2 linked regions of the Lytechinus pictus genome follow. The protein of the gene in region 1 interacts with the protein of each later gene in a pairwise test. Links are inferred from orthologs where the notes say so. Each region holds a gene or a part of one and is shown on either strand. Other genes may lie near its edges.

What was found.
Region 2: the proteins of kinesin-like protein KIF9 (region 1) and protein arginine N-methyltransferase 6-like interact in a two-hybrid assay, tested with the Homo sapiens proteins (2 studies listed by BioGRID and IntAct). The link is inferred for Lytechinus pictus from reciprocal best matches to the Homo sapiens genes KIF9 and PRMT6.

What each region holds. Positions count from the first base shown.
Region 1 is NC_087245.1:27,249,437-27,257,277, reverse strand, and holds the start of kinesin-like protein KIF9, read right to left. Parts: upstream 3,262-7,841; 5' UTR 3,127-3,261; intron 1,544-3,126; 5' UTR 1,517-1,543; coding exon 1,418-1,516; intron 900-1,417; coding exon 734-899; intron 1-733. UniProt on the Homo sapiens protein: Essential for normal male fertility and for progressive motility of spermatozoa.
Region 2 is NC_087247.1:70,356,042-70,364,228, reverse strand, and holds the start of protein arginine N-methyltransferase 6-like, read left to right. Parts: upstream 1-4,993; 5' UTR 4,994-5,227; coding exon 5,228-5,292; intron 5,293-5,851; coding exon 5,852-5,917; intron 5,918-6,412; coding exon 6,413-6,480; intron 6,481-8,187. UniProt on the Homo sapiens protein: Arginine methyltransferase that can catalyze the formation of both omega-N monomethylarginine (MMA) and asymmetrical dimethylarginine (aDMA), with a strong preference for the formation of aDMA.

The sequences.
Region 1 (7,841 bases):
ACTAAAGAAGTAGAGTGAAATGAGATTTGTTATGGATGATTCTCAAATATTTCTTGCTTGAACTGATTCTCTTAGTTACTTTAATACAATTATCATTATTTATTTAACCATACATACAGGGTGAAAGACAATATGAGATGAAAACAAATATAAGACAATATAGGAACTTTTAATGATCATCCATAAATCAACTTTTCTCAAACTGAATTCAAATTATGCATCTGGATAATAAATGGAAATAAAAATCCTTATAATAAACAAATGGAGACTGACTTACAAATATCACAAATTGACCTGCCTTCAGATAAGTGGAAAGCAATTTAGAAATCATTGAAAGCCATTCATGCAGGCTACATAAATGTTAAACAATTGATGTAAAAAGAAAAAAATTACTTCTACATGGAATGTTTTTCCTGGTATAGCATCACAATTTCCTCCACATTTTTTTTTAATGCTCCACAAAAAATACCTTTGGATAGCAGATTTCATATAGGACTGCACAGTATGTTGTGAAGAGCTTTTCTTTTATGACCAAAAAGCTCATCAAATTGGTAAGCAAAATTATTTCCTAATATACAAAAATACAGCAATAACAAATAACAACTCACACACATGGATGAGGGGGGGGGGGGGTTAAAGGAAAATTGAATTTTCTCATAAAAATACACTTAAATTGCAAATTCAGCAAATCAAGTTCTATAATCTATATAAAAAAATATATTAAAAAACTCACCATTATAACCATCAAGAAGCTGTGTGACTAGAGGTGAAGCAACTTCTTCATAAACCTTATCTTGACTAGCATTATGAAGAATACCATCCATCTTAAAGGACCAATCTAACATCTGATTGTTCACCACGCCTCTTTTCACATCTTTCTTGGCATGGATGTTGACGCTCTGTGACAATAAAGAATGATGATTCATACCCTTTGTTTTTCATCATGAAATTATATCTTTACATGCAACTACAAAGTTGTACAAATTGTATTTAATATGATCTAGCATGAAAATATTGTTAGATCATTAGATGGAAGTAAAACAAAACTGTAAAACAGAAAAATAGCAACATATATGAACATTATGTACATGAAAATTGTGGTAATGTACTGCTCCCTTGTTAATTGCATGTTTTTAATCAGATTTTTTGTGATGCATTCTTGTTCAAAATAAACTACTAGCATAAGAGGTAACCAAAAGAAACACTTGATGAACAATGTCATAAATTAATGCTTTTTGTAAGGATGACCCAACACTCTAAAATTATGACTATAAGTCACCAATCATCATTATCACAAAAATATATTCCCACTGCGTTTGTAAAATCATCATTCTTAGAATTTTCACCAGACTCAGATTCAATTAAGCAAAGACTTCAATAAATGATTAATGAATCTAAACTTTTGAGGAAAACCTACCTTGCCATCAGGAACGAGCTCAATCATATCCTGGGCAAACTTGTCAGTTGGCCTAGTGCGTACATAGACACGCACCTTACTGCTTCGCTTATTCATCATTGATGTTTCACTTGATTCAAGTTCTCCCTAAGGAAGGAAATAAGAGGACAACAGTGAAATTCTGAAAAGATTTTAGGTGTTTCCCATGTGTGTACTTGTTGTAAACACCCTTAAAACAATTTAAAATCAGTGCTAAAGTACATTCTCACAGAAATATAATCATCAATATATTTCTCAAAGCTGCATGGAAGAGTTATATCTAGTTTCACAACACGACCAAAAATGTAAATCAAAATGTATGTACAAAATGCAAATAGAATACAATACTTCATTGAAATTAGCAACAAAAATGAATATTCTTTTATACACCATAATATAGGGGATCTTGTGTTATTACTGGTATTAAAAGTAGATCATTCTTTATCTTAAAAATTTTAATCTCTCTTAATCTTAAGAAATGAGGTAAAACATAAAATATAAGACATTGATACGAGTATGCTACAGTATTTCAAACAAAATGTAATTAGGCCTAGATTTCAGTAGGCCTACAGTACAGTGTATATTTGAACTTCACTTGTCATACAACAACTTCATTAAAGGTCTAGACTTTAGGGCATTTTTCTATTTAGGCCAATGTAAAATAATATTAATGAAACAGATGGAAATGATACATCAAATTGATAAAATTGTTTAAACAATGCTTTAAAACTGTATTAATTGCATTTTTCACAAAAAAATTTAACACTGTCCAAGACAGCTTAAATTTAAAAAATAGGATACTTTTAAGTGAGCAAACTTTTCTTCTGTTTCTTGCATGGAGTTGAATAATTCCCACCCATACCATTCTCAGGATCGATGTCTCATCCATGTAGATTGGAGTTTGAGCAACAGAATAATCTTCTTCAACTTGGAATTCATCTGAATCCTCTGCCCCTTCATTAGAACCCTGATTTGATTTTGATCCACCCTTCCCTTCACTGCGACGACCTTTCATTTTCATCTTTATCCTGGAAACCTGCTGCTGGCTGGTTGACTTTCAAAATTTTGATTTTCGAAACTACGGTACCGTACCGTACCGGTACCGTTATGTTATTTCAATAAGTTAAAAGTTCAAGTTTGATCAAAACGCCCATCCCATTCCAAAATCCAAATAATGTTACTAAACTAACTAGACTAGTGTATTAGGCCTAGTAACATTTAATAACATAACATTAACAAGATAAAAATAAAAGTCAAGCCAGTGCCAATTCTGTGCACTTTCTTCTTTTTGTTGTTGTTGTGATATTGTTTCTGTTACTTTTTTTATGTTGTTTATATTTCCTAATTAATGATGAAACAATTGACACGTCATAATAGTAATACGCTTATTGAGATGAATGTGCGCGAACAAGCTGATTGACCGTTCAACGTCAATTACAACAATTGCACTGCGGCATTGCTCGCAATTATGAGCGAGCATGAGCAAGAGGCTAGGTCACTTTTCCGCCGACACTACAGGCGTGGATAACCATGCAATTCTGCTATTCGCGGGTTAGAGTGTCGACGGGCGATTGACTTAAACACCGTTTAAAAGCTAGGATTTTCGTTTGAAACATTCTTCACGATACAATATCACAGTTTTAGCTTTAAAATATTATTTCATTATTAGAAACTTGCAACTTGATACTTACAAAAGCTGGAAAAGGGTGATAATTAAAAAGGTAAATTCAACCAAGACGTCCGCGTGTGCTGCTCGTATTTACTACGCAACTAATGAGACGGCGCGCGTACATTTGACGCGTCCGTAGAATTACGCATTCGATATTATTGGTTTCGTTTATCAACGGCGTCGTCGTTGTCAGGGCCTCTGCTCATGCGCACATGGTCTGCAACCGTAAAAAATCATGATGTAGTATAATTATATTCCATATGTACATAATGTAGTATACATGTGTATTTTAACTAGTTCAATAACTGCCAGAATCAGCAGTGGCATATCTAACGTTAGGGGGCAAGTGCCTGGCCCCGGGTGGAGCTTTAGGGGGGGGGGGCACTATATAAAACCCCATGATCGAAAAGGGTTGAAATGACGGGCCCCTGTTCTAACGTTAAAACTACATTTTGATGGCGATGGTTCCAGTGATTACAACCTTATGGAAGAGATGTTATGTAGGCAACCGCGTAGCCAGGATTTCATTTTGGAGGGGGCGGTAAATGCACGCGAAGCGTGCCAACACTTACAGAGCGCGCGAAGCGCGCTCCCTGGGGGGTGGGTGCAGGGAGGGGGAGTTTCCCCCTCCCGCGCGAAGCGTGAAGCTTTTGGTGTGTCATAAATTAAAATGAAAAGGAGCCGTCTCTCTTGTCTCTAGTACCTATATCAGCTCCAATTCAGTTGACTTTATTGTGATTTTGAACCTTGTTTTCAAAAGTGATTGTGAACGCACAAAAAGGTATACAATGGAGGAAATTAAAATCATAATAACCCCGCGCGAAGCGCGGAAGCTAAAGCGTTTTTTCAATTTTTTTTGCCATGAAAAGGGTCCCGAGAAAAGGGTATTCTCAAAGACATATTGAATACTTCCCTTGGAAATATCGGATTTGATTACAAACAATTTAGCGACAGTGCATATCTTTAACTCGCAAAACAGAGGAGAAGAAGTGTATATGCCGGGAGGAAGATATTCCTCCCCGCGCAGAGCAATAAAACTCTGAAATTTTAAAGGGCGGACGTTTCATCAAATGCAGATATGTCTAATACCCCATCGGCTCTAATTCAATTGATAACCTAAGATTATTGAACTTCATTACAAGGAAAATAGTACGCAAAAAGTTGAAACTTCTGTGATTTATTAAAATTATATAAAAAAGGATGCCTAATTTCTTTGACTTATCCTGAAGCGCTTCATTTTGAATTATAAAGAAACCTAAGTGTCATTCAAAATTTCAAACTGAGGGCGAACAAATAGGACAGGAGATGAATGTGCAGGGAAATAACATGAAGATTAATAGAATTTGAAAAAAAATATTGTACTTTTTTATTTAATACGACACGAATTTTATACATTCCTCTTTTTAAATTAGGAACCTGTTTCCCCCAAATTATGGTTGTTTACCTATGGTTGTTGACCTGAAAAGCGGGAGAAGTTGACTTTATGGAGGTGACGGCAGAAATTGATATAAAGATTTTACCCGCCCGGAGCCGACCCGACCAGAAGTTGCGCGATCAATAAAAAAAAAAGATAACTTCATATACTTCGGCCTAACCTTACTCTAATTCCATGCCCTAATCTATACATTTGAACTTTAACTGGCAAGAAACACATATAGCTGAGGTGGAAAAGCAGGGTTAGAGAAAGGGTGGGGGAAACAATGGAGAACTTCAATATTGTCATTTAACCGCGCGCAGCGCGGAAGCAAAATTCATATATAAATTTACAGGAAGAGTGAAGGAGTTTCTCTTTTGAGAAAAAAAAGAATAAAAAGAAAAAAAAACCGACAAAGCTACCTTTCTTCCCTTTCCTCTCTTCCCTTTTCCTTTTTTCCTCTCTTTTTTCCCTTCTTTTTTTTCTTTTTGGGGACGTTTTTTGGGGGGGCGACCGCCCCCACCGCCCCCCCCCTGGCTACGCGCCTGTATGTAGGCGTGGTAATTTGACAGGGCGTAGGCCTGTAAATCGTAATGGAGATAGACAAAGGAAAAAAACAGTAAAAAGTTAAAAAAAATATATTTGTAAGATTTTAACCACCTAATTCGAAGGTGAAGTTAATGCACGAACTGACTATAGATCTATGCATAAAATTCATCTCGGTCGCTTTGGTTCCAACTTTCTTGCCTCTCTGATATTGCAAGAATCGCTCCCCGGCTATAGTTCTTCTCTGATCTGACATAAGCATGATGACGTACACCTTACGATTTGTCTGCGACCCGACTTTTAAATAGAACGTAGTAGAATTTGATGCTAATGTTGAGACATGGAATATCGTACTGTGTAAATTGTTCTAAATCATCTTACGAATACATACCTTCAAATCTATGACTATGCTGCCATGTTTAAAATAAAAAAGCGAAGTCTAGTCGTCCGTCCTACGATTAGCTACGATTTGAAACTAATTTGACCTTTACTCCAAAATAAAGGCTTGCAATCATCCCAAACTGTTATATTAGTATTATTTCAGCTATTTTGAACCTCAAAAAAATGATACTTTTCACCAAAATTTTCAGAAAATAAGCAAAATGCGATTTGTTCCATCGGATCGTGGACCAGTCGTATGGTCAGTGTGCGGTGGCCTTTAGAGGCATATAGTAGCAAATCACGTAATGATTACACAATTTATAGGGGGACGATCAGAATAGGCCTATTGGTCCGGGAATTCCTTTAAAACAAATAAAAAAATAAATTAAAAAAGTTACAAGAGAAAACGAATTTAACTTTATAAAATAAAAATCCAATTGAATTGTAACATATTTTGACTTCAAAGTATACAGAAAATCATTTTCTAATTTCTTTAAAAATATTCTTTCTTTTTCTTTTCTCGGTCATGTAACATTTGGAAGGATTGAGGGGCAAGTGCGCCCTGCACCCTCCCCCTCATGTCAAGGCCGTATATGGGATTTTTAAAAAAAGTTTCGAAAAACCTCAAAAACGAGGGGGCGAAGCTCCCGAGCTTCTCGTTGATTTGATTGATTGATTGATTTGACTTTATTTTACACATTTCACAAGTACAAACAACAATATGAAAACAATATCAGAAAACTCATGAGAATACAAATCAGACAAGGCATAACAATTAATTCAATTTAAAGAAAATAGCGATTTAGAATTAAAGACAATTTAAAAGAGTGAAATATGAGGGACCCTGCATAAAAAAGCAAAGCTTGTTAAGTCTGCAGGATCCAGAAAAAATATCAGTCTTAATGAGTAGGAGAGGACAGGTAAGTAAATTGATAATAATAAAGTAATGTCAAAATGTGACAATTGTGGATATGTAAGGAATACAAAAAAATAAATAAATAAAAATAAATAAAAAAGAGTCTGCCACTCTATGACTACTTATTACTCATTACTCAGCCAGAGCGTATTAACAAAGTACTTGTATATAACAGTTTACACAGGGAAATTATAAGAATTGATAAGCATCGCTTTCAATTTACGTTTGAATATATTAAGTGAGGCACTATGTACCATATCATGGGGAAGATCGTTCCAAAACCTGCATGGGCCCTTCAAATGCAATTGTTCGTTGAGCAAAGAGAGTGCGAGTACGCGGAAGGTGATATGAGTCACTTAGCCGGGTGGGATATGTGTGGATTAGATTGTTCCTTTGAAACATATATATTATATAGAAGCAAATATATCAGGCAATTCATCTTTTGAAAGCTGAAACATGAATATATCAAATCGAAATGCATATATATCAGAAATTTTGAGTACTTTATTTTGGAAAAATAATGGATTTTTATGGGATTAAAAACCAACTTAATTAACCAGCCTAATTGCTCGTTTTTGTATCGTGAATATTTTATCAATTAAGGTTGTATTGCAATTACCCCAGGCCAATATTCCATAATTCATATGGGATAAAACAAGTGTGGAATATAATGTTTTTAAAATGTGATCAGGAAAAAAATATTTTAGTTTATTCAGAATGCCAGTGTTTCGTTGGGGTGCTTTTGCATTTTTGAAAGTGAATTTGAAGGATTTTGTGAACATTCTTTACGATGCCCCCTTCAGCTTCCCAAAGCTAGAATTGAACATAAAAGAAAATCTTTCGCATATGTCGGACCCAAATTATTTAATGCACTTCCTTCAAATTTACAAGTTTGTACCTCCTTGTTAGTTTTTAAAAAATTATGCAAAGCCTTTCATACGAATTGATAAAGAGCGAAATGATATTCCATTGATTTACAATGCTATGTATGTTTAAATTGTCACTTCCCACTCTATATTTTGGTGTTAATTGTTTCTGATGTTAGATATTTTGTATTTTGTATTTTTGATGTTGTTTGTTGTTGTTGTTGTTGTTCATAGTTATCTTGACATGTATTTTAAACTGCAGGGCGCCTTTGTAAAGCAGTTTTAAGAACTGAACAGGCCTACCCTGCAGTATAAAATAAATAAAACAATATAAATAAATAAATAAAACATTATTGGTGAAATTTATGAAAATTTTCAGTAAAAAAAATGTAGGTCTTCAACATTTTTGGGGGCAGCTGCTGCCCACCCAACCGCTGCGTACGGCCATGCCCCCTGTATAATATGTACAGAGGCAAAATCGAGGTCCATAGTTCCTCCCTATTTCATACTAAATAGTGATTAGTGAAAACTGAATATCATATTCATGGAGTTCCTCAGAACAACATGCAATCATTCTGATGTCTTTCTAAAATTGTCATGATTTGGGGGAGCTA
Region 2 (8,187 bases), on another chromosome or scaffold:
GGAATTAAAAAAGGAAATTTAAAAAAAGCAAGAAAAAGTAGGAAAGAAAAAAAAACAATGAGGGACATAAAGAAGGAAAGAATGAAGAAAATAAATGAATACAGAAAGGAAAGCTAGGAAGTTAAAAGAAATACAAGATAGATGAAATGGAAAAGGGAATTCAGGAAGGATACAAGGATGAAGAAAGAAAGAGAAAAAGAAAAATCAGGAAGGAAGGAAAGAAAGAATTAACAATGATGGAAGGAATTAGGAATTAACAATGAAGGAAAGAAGAATAAGGGAAAAGAAAGAGAAGGAAGGAAAGAATCTAGCAAAGAGAGAATGAAAGCAAAAGAATGGAAAAGGGAAAGAAGGTATGACAGAAAGATTGAAAAGAAAAAGAGCCTGAGGAAGGGAGCAAAGAAAATTTCAAGGAAAGAAAGAAGGAAGGAAATAAAGCAAAAAGAAGGAAAGCTAGAAAAGGAAGGAAAGAAAGAAAAATGAACAGAGAGAGAATGGATCAGGAAAGAAAGCTAGGAAAGACAGGAAATAAAGATAGATGGAACAAAAAAGGCAAGCAGGAAGGATAGAAGAAAGGAAAGAAAAAAAGTTCAAACTTCAAGCAAACAAAATAAAATCCAGTCATCTAACAAAATTTACCCGATATTTTTATTTTAGAAAACTGTTAGAAATTGTTAGAAAACTATTATGTTTCAGGAATGAATAAATTTCAAAGTGAAACATTGTCAAACTTCTTCTCGGGTCACTACACAAGACCTGTCCAGTGGAGGGTTCAAGATCTGGCTTTGGGGTTCAAGAACTCAATCTTCGGCAGTGCATGGCTCTGGTAGGAGGGGGCAGACCAGAAGGTGTTGCATTGTCTGATCCTCCCCACACTCACAAACAGTGTCCCCATCTATGTTATAGCCCCATTTCTACATAAGGACTTTGCACCGTCCTGTTCCAGGCGTAGGCGATTCCTCACTCGAACCTGGGGGGAGTGACTCGCAAGCTCCATAGGTTAAGCTTGTGCGTCACAGACTGGAGGTGGTTGACCCTTTGATTGTGAGCAGAGCCATCAAGGAGTTCAGTTGAGTGAAAGAAACTAAGTCTTGATTTGAGTCTCCCCCTGGCGGGTCCATGGTTGCAGAGTGGATGAAGAAGACCATCTTCTTGTTTAGTTTTTGTCTCACCTGCATAGCAGAGTGAGACTATAGGCGCCGCTTTTCCGACGGCGGCGGCGTCGACACCAAATCTTAACCGAAGTATGTGTTGAATTGGCATCATAACTTAGAAAGTTGGACATAAGGGTAATCAAGTATTACTGAACATACTGCCGGAGTTTCAGGTCTCATGACCAAGGTCAAAGGTCATTTAGGGTGAATGAACTTAGACCATGTTGGGGGAATCAATATCGAAATCTTAACCAAAGTTAAGTTTTTGAAATGTTGTCATAACTTCAAAAGTATATGGACCTAGTTCTTGAAACTTAGACAAAAGGGTAATAGTGTATCCCTGAATATCCCTGTGTGCGTTTCTGGAACATGGCCAAGATCAAAGGTCATTTACAGGTTAATGGCCTCTGGCAGTGTTCGGAGTATGTGTTGAATTGGCGTCATAACTAAGAAAGTTTATGGATCTAGCTCATGAAACATTGACATAAGGGTAATCAAGTATGAATGATTGCATGCTTTGCACATGTCTTAGGTCACATGATCACGGTCAAAGGTCATTTTGAGGGAATGGACATAATATTTTATTATCATATCAGTGTTTTCTTCTGTGAATAATTTATTCATTAGCTGTTTTCAAAGGCAGCACAGCTGCTATATCGAATAGCGTAATGCAGGCTAGACTGCCAGAGGTGTTCCACTTGTTTTTTCTTTACATGGCACTTGTCTGATGCTGCTCTTTAACATTAGTAACAGGGCTCGAAATTGGTGGCGGTCCGGGGGCAATTGACCGCCTAAAGCTCCGTCGGGCACCCTAAAAGTCGGGTAATAGTGCCAGGGCTGACCACCAGAAAAAATAAATGTAGAAAACCGAAAATGAGTAGGTCTAAAACGAATGAAACCTCTCTCATGCAGAGCGTTTAAACTTGGAATATTTTGTTGATTAAGTGCTTACAAAAATGATAACAATTGCATTAAAATACTTGATACAGGTTTGAAAATGATACAGAGGCAATTTGTCAAAAAAATGAACAATGACTGCATTGTATTCACTGTTAAACACCAACTTCAACGAGCTCCAAATAAATTTTAACCCATCCGGCCTTCCCCTCGATACACAGTGTACATGTTCGTATTAAAATAGAACACACACAGAACAGCTAATTGCTGATCTGTGATTGGCCAGCGCTCTACTGATGGGAGTTGCTTTCAAGCGCGCGTGTGACCATTATCAGAAAAGGTCATGACTTCAGAGAAAAAATCAACCCCTCCCAACCTGTGTGGGTGTGTGGGCCGGAGAGAGAGAGAGGGGGAGGGGGGGGGGGGAGAAAGATAGGGGGTTGGAATAATTGAATGCGGGGGGGGGGAACCCTTTCATGTTTCAAAACAAAGCAAAGCAATCTGTATAACCCCTCTCCTCATACACAGGCACACCAATTTTCCCCAGAGGCCTAAAAATAACATTCCAACAGAACCCTTGCCTATTCATTCCATGTCTCGACTAGTCTCCAAATATAGACCCAGTTATAGGTTCAAATCATCAAAAAATTAATTTGGAACTTAGGAATTTTTATTTTTTAATTGAATAATATTTTGCAATTACTTTTTTTTTAATACAGTGTGTAGCATCGTGGGCAGTGCAACAAGCTTGGGTATGGCACTTAGGCAAGGGATGAATTTTTTTCCCAAAAAAAGGGTCTCTGTCACAAGAATACAGCGTGAATGTATTGTTTACTGTGAATTGGAGACAAAAAAGACGTAATTGGACTTTGGACTGAGCTGTGAACAATGATCTGGACTGATTCATTCATATGCGGGGGGTGTATAAAAGCATTGATTCAGGAAATTTTTTTAATTGAAACAATAAACTGAAAGTTATTTCATGTAATTTCTTTTGACATAGTCAAAGAAATCAAAGGGGGAATAAATAGTCATACTTTCATTTGTGAGAAACAGACCCTTAATGTTCAATGCAGTGAGGTCCAGTTGTATAAGTGTGGCATTGAGAGTTGTAGGTTTTCTGCATTTTGGGTCACTAATATAGGTCAACTTTTGCGATTTTAGAAGACGTGATTCCCGACGAACAATCGAATCATTCCATTGTTTTTTCAGGAAATAATCGAATGGTAAAAATGACATTCGTCCCAGGTCTAAACGACATGATCACTTGTTTATGTTTTGCCTCATCCAAGCCACTTGTGGTTTTGTTCCCACTCTTTCTGTAATGTATACTTCTGGGGCCCATTTCATAAAAAGTTGCTATAAATTCTTTCGCAGCCAGAGGCTGAATTGTGGAATCTTTTACAAATCAAAAATATAATCATTACATAAACATCATAAATAATTACATACCCGGTAATGCAAAATTTAAATACTAATATGATATCCAAAAACAAACTATGAGTACAGGATATCATGCATTAAAAGAAAACAAATTAAGCACAGAGACTCAGAGTTTACCTTAGAGAGAGTGACATAGAGAAAGGGACAAGGACAGAGAGAGACAGTTACACAGAGAGAGAGAGAGAGAGAGAAACATGGACAGAGAGAAAGAGAAACATGGACAGAGGGGGGGGGGGGGGGGAGGAGCGAGGAAAGGGGGGCTGAAAGTGAAGCCTTTATATCAAGTTAGTACATTTAAAAAAAGGAAAAAATAGTTTACACATGTGACAGACCAAATCATGACAACAAGTCTTGGTTTGATTCACTTTATGGAGTGAGTGCACTTCAACATTTCCGCAGCAACGACTGTTAACTTGGTGTGATGTTTTGACAATAAATTTATCATAACCATGATCAAATGTGAATTGAATGATGTTCTTTCCAATTTCAGTTTGGTGAAGTTGTATTCATTTTATTATGCATGGTTTCCCTCAGTGTTGGTGAGGGTGTTGTGCTTTTATTTCAGGAAATGTCATTGACCCTTGTTCATTTTAAAACGTACCTCTAACTTTAAGTCTAAAAATGAACATGAATGTCTCAAGTAAAACAAAGGTGTGAAAAGGATCATGAGTAATTTTTGTTATCTCCTTTGAAACAAAGGCTTGAGTTTGTCCTTTTTAATCCACAGAAAGGTTCCACCAGTAATTTAGTGTTTGGCAGCAAACTTACACTTATAGAGTTGATACTTTACAATTTGTCATGATACAATATTTTCAATATGCATGTGATGACCACCTAAACTGCCATTTCACCACCTAAAGTTCAGTCCAGGGTGCCCGGCTGACTTCCAAAAATTAAAGTTAATCGAGAGGCCTGATTAGTTTTGTTAATTTCTCTTTGCAAGTTGTACACTTCGATTTTCAATGAGTCTGGTATCTGTAATAGTCTAAACAGCTGAAATCCTAACCATATCCTGTGTGACTACTTTCAAAACAAGGTCATAAGAAACCTACTCTCAGCACTTCTTATGCTTGAAGGTCAGTTCTAGAGGTGCTTTTGTAGCAATTCAGAAATTAATTAAGCTAAATTTTATCAATTCTTTTCATAAAACCAGAAAGCTGTCTTTGTGTGTGATCATGATTTGTACACAATTGGTGCTTGAATGCTGAAGACCCGCGCTAAAACACTTCAATTCAGCAATTGCATTTTACCAGAGATGTTCTGTCATAAAAATCAGGCACTGATAAGCACAATGGTATCCCTGACAATGAGTTGGTTTTAATGAAAGCAGCCTTTTTAGCAGTGTTTTTCTACTTTTATTTCAACCAACATTATGTCAGGGTGAACTTCTCCTTTATTATGTCAGCCTTCATCTGAAATACGGCTCCTACAGTATTGGTAGCAGATTCAAAACGAGATGTCAATGACCATCTTGCTACACTCGGCAACCTCTGAGTTAGCATATCCAACAACAAATGACATGGAGTCTGAATCTTTGTATGGTCCCTTTCTTTTTACCTTTCTTTTAGCTGCTTGCAATGCTAGTTGCTCGACAATGAAACCTTGCAAAGTTGACATTGTCTGTCATCATGAAACACTAATCTACAGTAGATCTATGATGAGTCCATTATATTCCACACTGTGTGGTTAATCTCCTTATCTGTTATTACTCTCTTAAAATTCATTTCAACAGAATGTGCATCAGAAGCTCTGAAGAAACAGAAGGAAAGGCTGAAGAGATAGACACATCTTATTTCAAGTAAGTCATTTCCTTTTAAAACAAAAAAAACCATGACCCTGTTGAATAAGTCAGTGTCGTGTTGAATGATATTGTCTTCAAATGTGTTAAAACAATTTTCATTTTCATTTTTATTTGAGCAGTATTACTATTGAACTGTTTATTGAAAGTAGCATTATCACTTGGTAAGTTCTATGAAACAATGTCAATATGGCTTGAACTTGCATGCATGTAAATGCATTACTTGTAAGTGACTGATTGCATATAATTATAATTCTATATTCTGAAAATAATACTTTTAAGGTGGATTTATTACAAATTAAAAAACATTATTTTCTATGAAGAGAGATCTTGATGGTTTATGAGTCTTGAGTTTTCCATCAATCTACCAGCTGAAATTTACCTGGCTGAATCACATATGAAAGATTTAGAAAAGAAATGGACCCTTATGAATTCTTGTCAGGCACTCACATATTAGAATTCAGAAGGTTTATAATAACATGCTATGTAGAGCCTTCTGGAAGGTAATCAACTAATAGCTGAACTACCGGTAGCTATCTTGGGTTATATTTTTTTACAGGTCATATGAACACATAGGGATTCATGAAGAAATGATCAGAGATGTTGTTAGAACAAATTCATACAGGTAATATATATATATATTTTTCTTTTCTCTTGTTTTCCTGATAATGAGACTTAAACAGGATGCTTGATACAAAGAATGTAAGTTTCTCAAATATACCAGGCTGTTTTTTAACCATGTAAGAAGTACCTGCTTGATATAACTTTGAAAATGTTGGGTTTGATGTTTGTTTTTTACTTTTTTTGACTAGTTAGAAAAATATTCCTGTGATAAGAACTGAAATGGTAACATATCTGTAATATCATAACTCACATATACATGTATATATCGTGAATTGGTTAGTTGTTTTTTTCAATAAACCCTTTAAGAGTGTATCCTATTCCATTTTAGCATGTATTCATATGCTGCTCTGGTCTAATTTATAACAAATAATTCCTCCTTGGAGTAGTAGTAGTCCCAATTCCAAACCGATATGACGCTTTTAAGATGTCATCCATACCTTTTCATTTTGTTGTCCATTTCCTATACTCGATGTTATTGTTGTACCTCTAATATTAGGTTAGCCATTTTGCGGGCCAGTGATGCACTCATTGGGAAGGTGGTTGCTGATGTTGGAGCAGGTACAGGTAGGTCATATGATCAAACGTTGATCCAGTCGGATTAGACAAAATAGTTTTAAGAGGCCAACTATTGTGCAAAAACATTATGGCCCCTAAAGTTGAATTGTATTCAATTCAGGTTTATTGCGAAAAAAAATTATTGCAGTCACAGACTGAATTGTACATGTTTACACAATGCCAATATATGAAAATAATCAAAATTATTTAGAAGATGAGCAATGAATATACAAATTAAAATTACATATGTGCAGTTACAAATGGAGTTAAAATGGATAAAAATAAAGTTATAGATAATACAATATTGCACACTCATTACACAAATTGCAAACTTATTTACCATGGTACTTATTTAAGAATCTTGTCAGACTTGGAGGAGCACTGTTCTGAAATCTTTTTGTTTTACATGGAATCTCATTATATTTATTCATATGTCGTAAATTGAAAGCGTCTGTTTTCAGTGGATGTAACCAGTTTCTGTACAATTGATTAATTTCTAACTTTAAAGTTTAAGTTTTAACTCTTCGACTTTCAAGTGATGTCAATTTTAAGGTATTTAGAGCCATGTCATATGATAGATACTTGGTTCCCAATATTATCTTGCATGCTCTTTTCTGGACAGTTTCAATAACTCTTATCTGTTTCAAAGTAAGAGAAGCAGTGAATAAAGGTATACAACACTCCAGGACTGGTCTTACATACCCTATATACACTGTTAACAAATCACATTCAGGTAGATTGTAAGCTTTCAATCTTCTTAGCATGTATAACTTTTTATTGCTCTTTTTCATTATTTCGGTTACATGAGCATTCCACTTTAAATCATTCTTAATTGTAATTCCTAGGATTTTCACCGTGGTTACACATTGTAATGGCATGTTATTTATATAGATCACTTGCGGTTGAAGAGGTTGTTTTGAAAATGAAATTGACATTGTAGAACATTTTGATGCATTGAGTTCCATATCATTTCGAGAAGTCCATGATTCGAGTAATTCAATTTCAGTTTGTATTTGTGAAGTTTGATTATTCATTCTACACTCTACCATGGTTAATTCATCTACATATTTAAAGTATGACAAAGTACTATCACTACAGGCACCCTTTATCATTATCAAAGATAAAATGGGACCAAGTTTGGTGCCCTGAGGTACACCCGTAACACTGCATTTTGATTTCGATAACTGGCCTCTATACTGCACAGTTTGTTGGCGATTACTTAAGAAATCTACTACTAATTATATAACCAGTGTGCTACATAAGCACTTGCCCAAATTGGGCAAGCAAAATTCTCACAGTAGAATGACCAAAATTAGGGCCGATGATATGATATTGACCCTAATTTTGGTCATGGCAGGCAAGATAAAATCACTTTGGAAAAAGAAATGCAATAACAAGGTAGATCAGTTCATTTCAAAAGAGAAAAAAGGTCAAGGGTTTATAAGGTAAAACTATTTTTTCAAGGATTTTATCGGGCAAGTGAAATAGATTTTGGGCAGGTATATTTCAACTTTCAACGTTCAATTTTTTTTGCTTGTCAAATTTTTCTTTGGGAAAATGTGCCCCACCCGACTGGAAAATCCTGGATCCGCCCTAGATCATGGTGTTCAAAAGGAAGCAGAAAGAATGTCATGTCTGTATTGAAAGATTGAGCTTATTTTAATTCGAACATGACCTTGTAAGCCAGATTGTTTCACAGATTTTTTCTTTGCACAC